Arabidopsis thaliana: one gene and its partner. The protein of the gene in region 1 interacts with the protein of each later gene in a biochemical or structural test. Each region holds a gene or a part of one and is shown in the gene's direction. Other genes may lie near its edges.

Region 1 (3,758 bases):
AATTTAGAATTATAATACTTTCCACTCCGAAACTCATATGTAAATATGTTGGTAAATTCAATATAGAAGTGTGAAAATGCGTAATATAGTGATATTGTTTTATAAAAATACTTAAAATTCTCTCTTAATTTCCAAAACCATTAAAATAAAATAAAAACATACCATTATCACTCAAATTTCATATCAAAGGTTTTTTTAAAATCAAAATTAGTAATAAATACTAAAAGTTTTAAATAATATTGGAATAGATTTCGTCTGTCAAGTCCACGAGAGATCTCTAAATACTTGATCTTGAATACTAATTCATCTTAGAGGCCCTAGAATTAGTAAAAGCAGGAGTGGCTAACGCATCAGTCATCTATCAAGATACTGGTGAGCAATGAGACTTGTTATGCACCCCTCTCGGCATGGTACAAAACACATAATTATTTGATTCATCTAACATGTTCGTTCTTGTAGTGATATTATAGACGCTAGTGTGCTTATCCATCCCGTGTATGAAACCGGTAAATATATGACTACGAATAAAACATTATACACTTTATACAAAATCTATCATAATCGGATCCCCAATCTTAGGAGAATATTAATACTCCATACTCATAAAACTCACCTAAACACATAAAAATTTGTTGGGTGTCTTTCATAACTTTCTCTTGACTTAAGTGTCGGAGATTAATTAAACGACAAAGGATTGTCCTTTACGTGGTACATGTTTATCTCTTGTTCAGTGTATCGTCCACATTCACGAGAAGCAAACACAATGCAGATGTCGAAAATTTGGCAGGAAGAACTATCTTTTTATATTAAACTTGTAGGAGCTTTTCCAAAACATAATGTTTGTGGTTTTTTTTGAATATATATATTCTAAAAGTCGATCACAAAGTTTTAAAACTAAAACATTATTTTTTTGATTGGTGATATATATAATTTTGTGTCCGACACCTTAATAGTATTTAGTAATATAATGGTTGTGCGCCATATATAAATTGACAAATGACACCAATATTTTAATTCTTACACACAATCTATACACATAAATCTCATTCGATCCTTACCTTTTCCGTAGCTTTTCATTTAACAATAATATTCATATTTTGGATTAAACCTTCACTTTACTCTCTTTGTTAACTTTAAGGAAGATGCTGAATGTTGCAATTGTGCAATTTGTCAATAACATATGCTGAACTTATTGTCTTTGTATATCACATAAAAAACAAACTGAAATACTATGTGTTAAAAAGAATATTAAACAATTTATAAACCATTTTTCTTGCATAATCTATCTTTTAACCCTATATTAATAAAAACAAAAACAAAACTACATACACTTTTTTGGTCGAATCAAAACTATATACTGTACATTGTTTCATATAACATTATTTTAGAAAAGAAAAAACTCTTCGAAATAAGTAACTCATGCAGATAACAGTCCCCAATTGGGAATGGATTTGTATTTTCTCAATTTAAAGATTAAGTTCATTTTCATACTTATACTGTATATGGAGAAAATATGATAGAGTAGATTATTGAAAATGGGCCTATTAGTTATGTAGTATAGACCTAATGCTATAACCTGCTAATAATTAGGCCTTATTACACTTCCGTTTTAGAAATGCGGCCCAATGGGTTTTAAAGAGGGAAACAAAAAAACAAACACACATACCTGTAGGCTGTAGTGTTGTAGTACAGCTTGAATTAAAGCTTTCGAGAAATTGTGTGCGACACCAACTTTTTCCAAAAGCAAGTAGCCAAAGCATAAAAGGTGAAACTGATAGCTTTAAATTTTCAGGAATGAAGAAAAAGAAAAAGCTAATTCGAATCTCAAATAAAGAAAGACAAATTCTATGTGACCATTGCAAAGAACTCGACTTTTTTTAGTAAAAGCAATTAACAAAGTTGGAGTCTTTGTTCACTTCACTGTCTCTCATCACACGCTTTCCTTCTTTATCTCGTGACCACTTTCAAAGCCGAAAAGAACTTGGTATTTTTGCATTGAATTATAGAGATTTAAGAGCCATCGATGTGTGTGTGATCTTCAATGGGTTTATGCTTAGCTCAATTGGCTGTAACATGTTTGTTCCTAGTACCTTTTGTTCTGTCTCAAGTTACAGGTACTTATGGCACATAATCTGTTTGTTTAAATGCTTCAATGAGTGTTTATTTGTGTGTGTCTGTGTGTGTGTGTGGAAATTCTTGTTCTTGATGTGTTCTTTAACTTGTTTTTTGATGTTCAATCACAAATTTTTGTTCTTATTTGCGTTGAAGTCTTCAATTTTAGACTATTTATGGTTAAAAATGTTCAATTTATGGTGTAATGGGATTGAAGAGTAGGGGAATACTAAGATTCTCTTGTCATGCGTTTTATTGTAGTTAGTGGGAAATGGATGAAATTTTGATTGAGTGGCTATATTTGCAGAGTTTGTAAGTATAGATTGTGGTTGCTCAAGTAACTACACAGACCCAAGAACTGGACTAGGATGGGTTTCAGATTCAGAGATCATCAAACAGGGCAAGCCAGTAACTTTGGCCAATACCAATTGGAACTCGATGCAATACCGTAGGAGAAGAGATTTCCCAACTGACAATAAGAAGTATTGTTACAGACTCAGTACCAAAGAGAGAAGGCGATACATTGTCAGAACTACATTTCTTTATGGTGGTTTGGGTAGTGAGGAAGCCTACCCAAAGTTTCAACTTTACTTGGATGCAACGAAATGGGCTACTGTGACGATTCAGGAGGTCTCTAGGGTTTATGTTGAGGAGTTGATCGTAAGGGCAACTTCAAGTTATGTGGATGTTTGTGTATGCTGTGCTATCACCGGTTCTCCTTTCATGTCCACTCTTGAGCTTCGCCCGTTGAACCTTTCGATGTATGCCACTGACTACGAGGATAATTTCTTCTTGAAGGTTGCTGCCAGAGTGAATTTTGGTGCTCCGAACATGGATGCCTTGAGGTAAAACCCTATTAAAACTCTTCTTTCCATTATATCATTCACAAGAATGTTGACAGACATCCAAAAATACTCAAAGACTTTCTCTTTTAGGTACCCAGATGATCCATATGACAGAATCTGGGAGTCAGATATTAACAAACGGCCAAACTATCTTGTTGGTGTGGCTCCTGGAACGACAAGAATCAATACGTCAAAGACTATAAATACGTTGACTAGAGAGTATCCGCCTATGAAAGTCATGCAAACAGCAGTAGTTGGCACACAAGGACTGATCAGCTATAGATTGAACCTGGAAGACTTCCCTGCCAATGCTCGTGCGTATGCTTATTTTGCTGAAATTGAAGAACTTGGTGCTAACGAGACCCGGAAATTTAAGTTGGTGCAGCCATACTTTCCTGACTATAGTAATGCAGTGGTGAACATTGCCGAGAATGCCAATGGGAGCTATACTCTCTATGAACCTAGCTATATGAATGTGACTTTGGATTTTGTTTTGACGTTCTCATTTGGGAAGACTAAGGATTCTACGCAAGGGCCACTCCTAAATGCAATTGAAATTAGCAAGTATCTACCAATATCCGTGAAAACTGATAGGAGTGACGGTGAGTACTAGAGGCTACTACTACCTTGTAAATTCTTCTATGAATCTTTTCCCGTCTATGATGCTGCTGGAAATGTGCAAATCAAAATTTGTTGATAAAGAGTTTACAGAAGTTTTCTAATCCTGCAGTGTCTGTTCTTGATGCAATTCGTTCGATGTCCCCTGATAGCGATTGGGCCAGTGAAGGAGGAGACCCTTGT
Region 2 (3,758 bases), on another chromosome or scaffold:
GCAAAAACAATCGTGGAAGGAATATAAAACAAAGCGATGAATATAAAGCAAAAATCGATCGATCTCCGAGCTCATAGAAGCAGGAAGATGAACGTACCGATGGGACAAATTAAGTAACAGTAACAAAGAACGAGAGAGAACATAGTAACAGTAATCGAATCAAGTAACAGAGAAACAGATCGGAATCAGATCCGTCGAGGATCAGAATCATCGGAATCGGCTCGATCCGGGAGACCGATCTCTCGTGTAACAGACCTTAGAATCGATAACGTCGCCGAACTGTGAGAACGTCCTTTGAAGATCTTCATCATTGGTGGCCCAGGCAAGGCCGCCGACAAAGCACCGGTACTCAACTTCAGACATTTTTTTTTGGGGAAAAGAAGAGAAATTAGGGTTTCAAAATGTAAGAGAGAGACTTATGTGATTTGAGGTGATAAGACGCAGCCTTAATTTATAGAACAGGTGTGACGTAATAACTAGGGTTAAACATGTTTTCTAGGGTTTGCTGAAAGATTTGTTTCAACTTACTCTGATTAAGATGTGTGGTTAATTGGGTTAGTGGTTAGGCCCACATCATGTGAGCATTTTCGATAACTAATGATTTTTTCTCCTCGTTTCGAGCAAAAAATATCTTTGTAAGAATATCTTTTATTCCTTAAATGACAATTTTGTCCTTCGTCTCGTCGTCATTATGTCATACAATAGTTGGGTCTGAGTTTCGTTTATTGGGCCTATCTAATTTAATTGGAAAGATTATAACTTCCGGCCCAATGAATCTGACGGCGAAATTAGTAAAACAATAAAATGAAATAATATGCAAAGACTATGACGATAATGTGCTATGGATTTACATATTTGTTTTGTCATTAATTATGACATGCAATAAATTCATATGAAAAGATTCTTATCGCAATAGCATCGTGGACATGTTACAGTCTGTAATATCCAAACTTTAGCATAGACGTTTTTTGTTGTACAAATATTTTGGTATGTTAAGTGATATTCAAATGAAAGCTAGATGTGCAGATATGTGAACATATAAATCTTTCAATGGAATTCAATTTTCAATCATTGAATATTTGGATACACTCGCTCTGTACTTGAAATATTTTGACTGTCTGAATATTATTTTTTTACAGGATTAATTATTTTGTATACCAAAATTAGACGGATGAAGAATGAAGATGTAGTAGTTATACAAAGTCAATTACAAATGGTTCAGTATCTTGATTTCGATTTTTGTGCTGAAAATGCTGACTAAAGCGTGTAGAAGAGCTTTTTCAACAAGAAATAACCTGGCTAAGATTTTTTTAAGAAATCTGATTATTAATATATCGCAGGTAATATGAAAAAGTATCGTCGACTTTTTATAAGAGTGACAACTAAATCATTTTGCTCATAATAAAGCCACAATTATTATTAGTATATTTTGGTCGTTTTAATACGAGGAAAAATAATTGTCATACAAAATTTACAGAAATGGAGTAGCATCGTAGCTCCTAGGAATTCAATTATTTATTTGCAAAACTACTAAAATGGTGGTTATCATATTAAACGTCAGCAGAAACTTTAAGTATTTTTGAAATGATATTAATTTAAGAGTTCGTTAAGCTGTCTTGGGCGGGATCGTTGAGAGTCAAACTCCTCAAACGACGCCGTATTCAGAACTTCACTTTCAATTACTGTATCTGCGTCTCGGTCACGAGATCGAACCATAAATCTTGGGAACGTGCACGTATACAACGAAAGATCCACCTTCTCTCACTTTTTTTATTTTCTTATACTTTCTTCTCTTTTCTTCGAACGGCCGCTGTTCTTGACCAGTCTGAAGCTTTCTCTGTCCAGAACAGTTCTGTAAGAAGAAGTTTTTATCAAATATTATATAAAAATATCTGTTTCGTATTATATCAGACTTTCCATCTTTCTCTCTCTAAATCTAGGACAAAAAAAAACATGGAAGAGTTAGAGAGAGAGAGAGGCAGCAGAAAATGATTGGTAAACAACAATGAATCGTTTTTGATTCTGAAGTGCACAGAGAAAAGTAATTGCCAGAGAAAGTCGCAGAGGTAACAGAGTGAAGAACCTTTTTTAGTATATATCTTTGTTGAATAATCACAAAAAGAAAGTTTCCTTTATTGATCGGATTCGAAGGAAACCCAAAAAAAAAAGAGATTTGATTATTTCCATAAATCGCGAAGCTTTTTTCCAATTGAATCTTAGGCAATGAATGGCTTTAAGTTTTTCGAAGTACTAGTCGTCACCAGGGTTTAGAGAAACCATGGTGGTTCTGAGGAAGACATCCTTGTTGGTCTTCTTCTTATTCCTCCTCTTGTTGTTAGAGTCAACGTTTGAGCAACAGACAAGTTCTCTGAATGAGAAATCGGCGCTTCTGCTGTTAAGGTCTTCTCTTGGGTTACGAAGCAGAGATTGGCCTGTAAAAGGCAATCCTTGTCTGAACTGGAACGGCATCAAATGTGATCAGAATGGTAGAGTAACTAAGATCAACATTTCAGGGTTCAGAAGGACAAGGATTGGGAATCAAAACCCGGAATTCTCAGTTGGTTCTCTCGTCAATCTCACCCGTCTAGCTTCCTTCAACGCCTCAAGGTTCTATCTTCCAGGTCCAATCCCGGCTTTGTTTGGATCGAGTCTGTTGACTTTAGAGGTGTTGGACCTTAGCTCCTGTTCAATCACAGGAACCATCCCTGAAAGTTTGACTCGGTTATCACATCTCAAAGTTCTTGATCTTTCAAAGAATGCGATCAATGGGGATATTCCTCTGTCTCTTACCTCTCTTCAGAATCTATCAATCCTTGATCTTTCCTCAAACTCGGTGTTTGGTTCGATTCCTGCTAATATTGGGGCACTCTCAAAGCTCCAGCGTCTGAATCTTTCGCGTAACACCTTGACTTCTTCAATACCTCCATCACTCGGAGACCTCTCTGTTTTAATTGACCTTGATCTCAGCTTCAACGGAATGTCAGGTTCGGTTCCATCAGATTTGAAAGGGCTAAGGAACTTGCAGACATTGGTAATTGCGGGAAATCGCCTTTCAGGATCCCTACCTCCTGATCTGTTTAGTTTGCTGAGTAAACTTCAGATCATTGACTTCAGAGGCAGTGGTTTCATAGGCGCTTTACCGTCCAGGTTATGGTCGTTACCGGAGCTCAAGTTTCTAGATATTTCTGGAAATCACTTCTCTGACATGCTGCCTAATACCACTGTCAGTTTTGATTCTACTGTCTCCATGCTTAACATATCCGGGAACATGTTTTACGGCAATCTCACACTTTTACTGACAAGGTTCCAAGTTGTTGACCTGTCAGAAAACTATTTTGAAGGTAAAATTCCTGACTTTGTGCCAACCAGAGCTTCATTGAGCAACAATTGTCTTCAGGGCCCAGAGAAGCAGCGGAAGTTGTCGGATTGCACTTTGTTTTATTCAAAAAAGGGCTTAACTTTCAACAATTTCGGACAACATGAAGAGAAGAAGAGTTCTAAAACTTCCTGGTTAAGCCACACGAAAATAGTTATACTTGCTGCAGTTGGAGGGTCTATATTGCTTATGCTCATTCTCATAGTGTTACCAATAACAGTGAGTTTCTGTGTCCGTCGAAGAAACAGATCATCAACAAGTAATCATCCTAGAGGAAGACACAACGGTGTTGGCCCATTACCTCCTGATGAAACACTTCCCTCAAGAGGAGGAGTCTCTATAAACTTTGGGAGTCTTGGATCATCATTTACCTATCAGCAGT

The links.
Region 2: the proteins of AT1G67720 (region 1) and AT4G39270 form a complex in vitro, tested with the Arabidopsis thaliana proteins (one large-scale study listed by BioGRID).

What each region holds. Positions count from the first base shown.
Region 1 is NC_003070.9:25,384,453-25,388,210, forward strand, and holds the start of AT1G67720 (Leucine-rich repeat protein kinase family protein), read left to right. Parts: upstream 1-1,678; 5' UTR 1,679-2,041; coding exon 2,042-2,114; intron 2,115-2,419; coding exon 2,420-2,957; intron 2,958-3,047; coding exon 3,048-3,559; intron 3,560-3,687; coding exon 3,688-3,758.
Region 2 is NC_003075.7:18,274,596-18,278,353, forward strand, and holds the start of AT4G39270 (Leucine-rich repeat protein kinase family protein), read left to right. Parts: upstream 1-1,715; 5' UTR 1,716-2,278; coding exon 2,279-3,758. Other genes in the region: CCR1 (cold, circadian rhythm, and RNA binding 1), read right to left, coding at 256-363.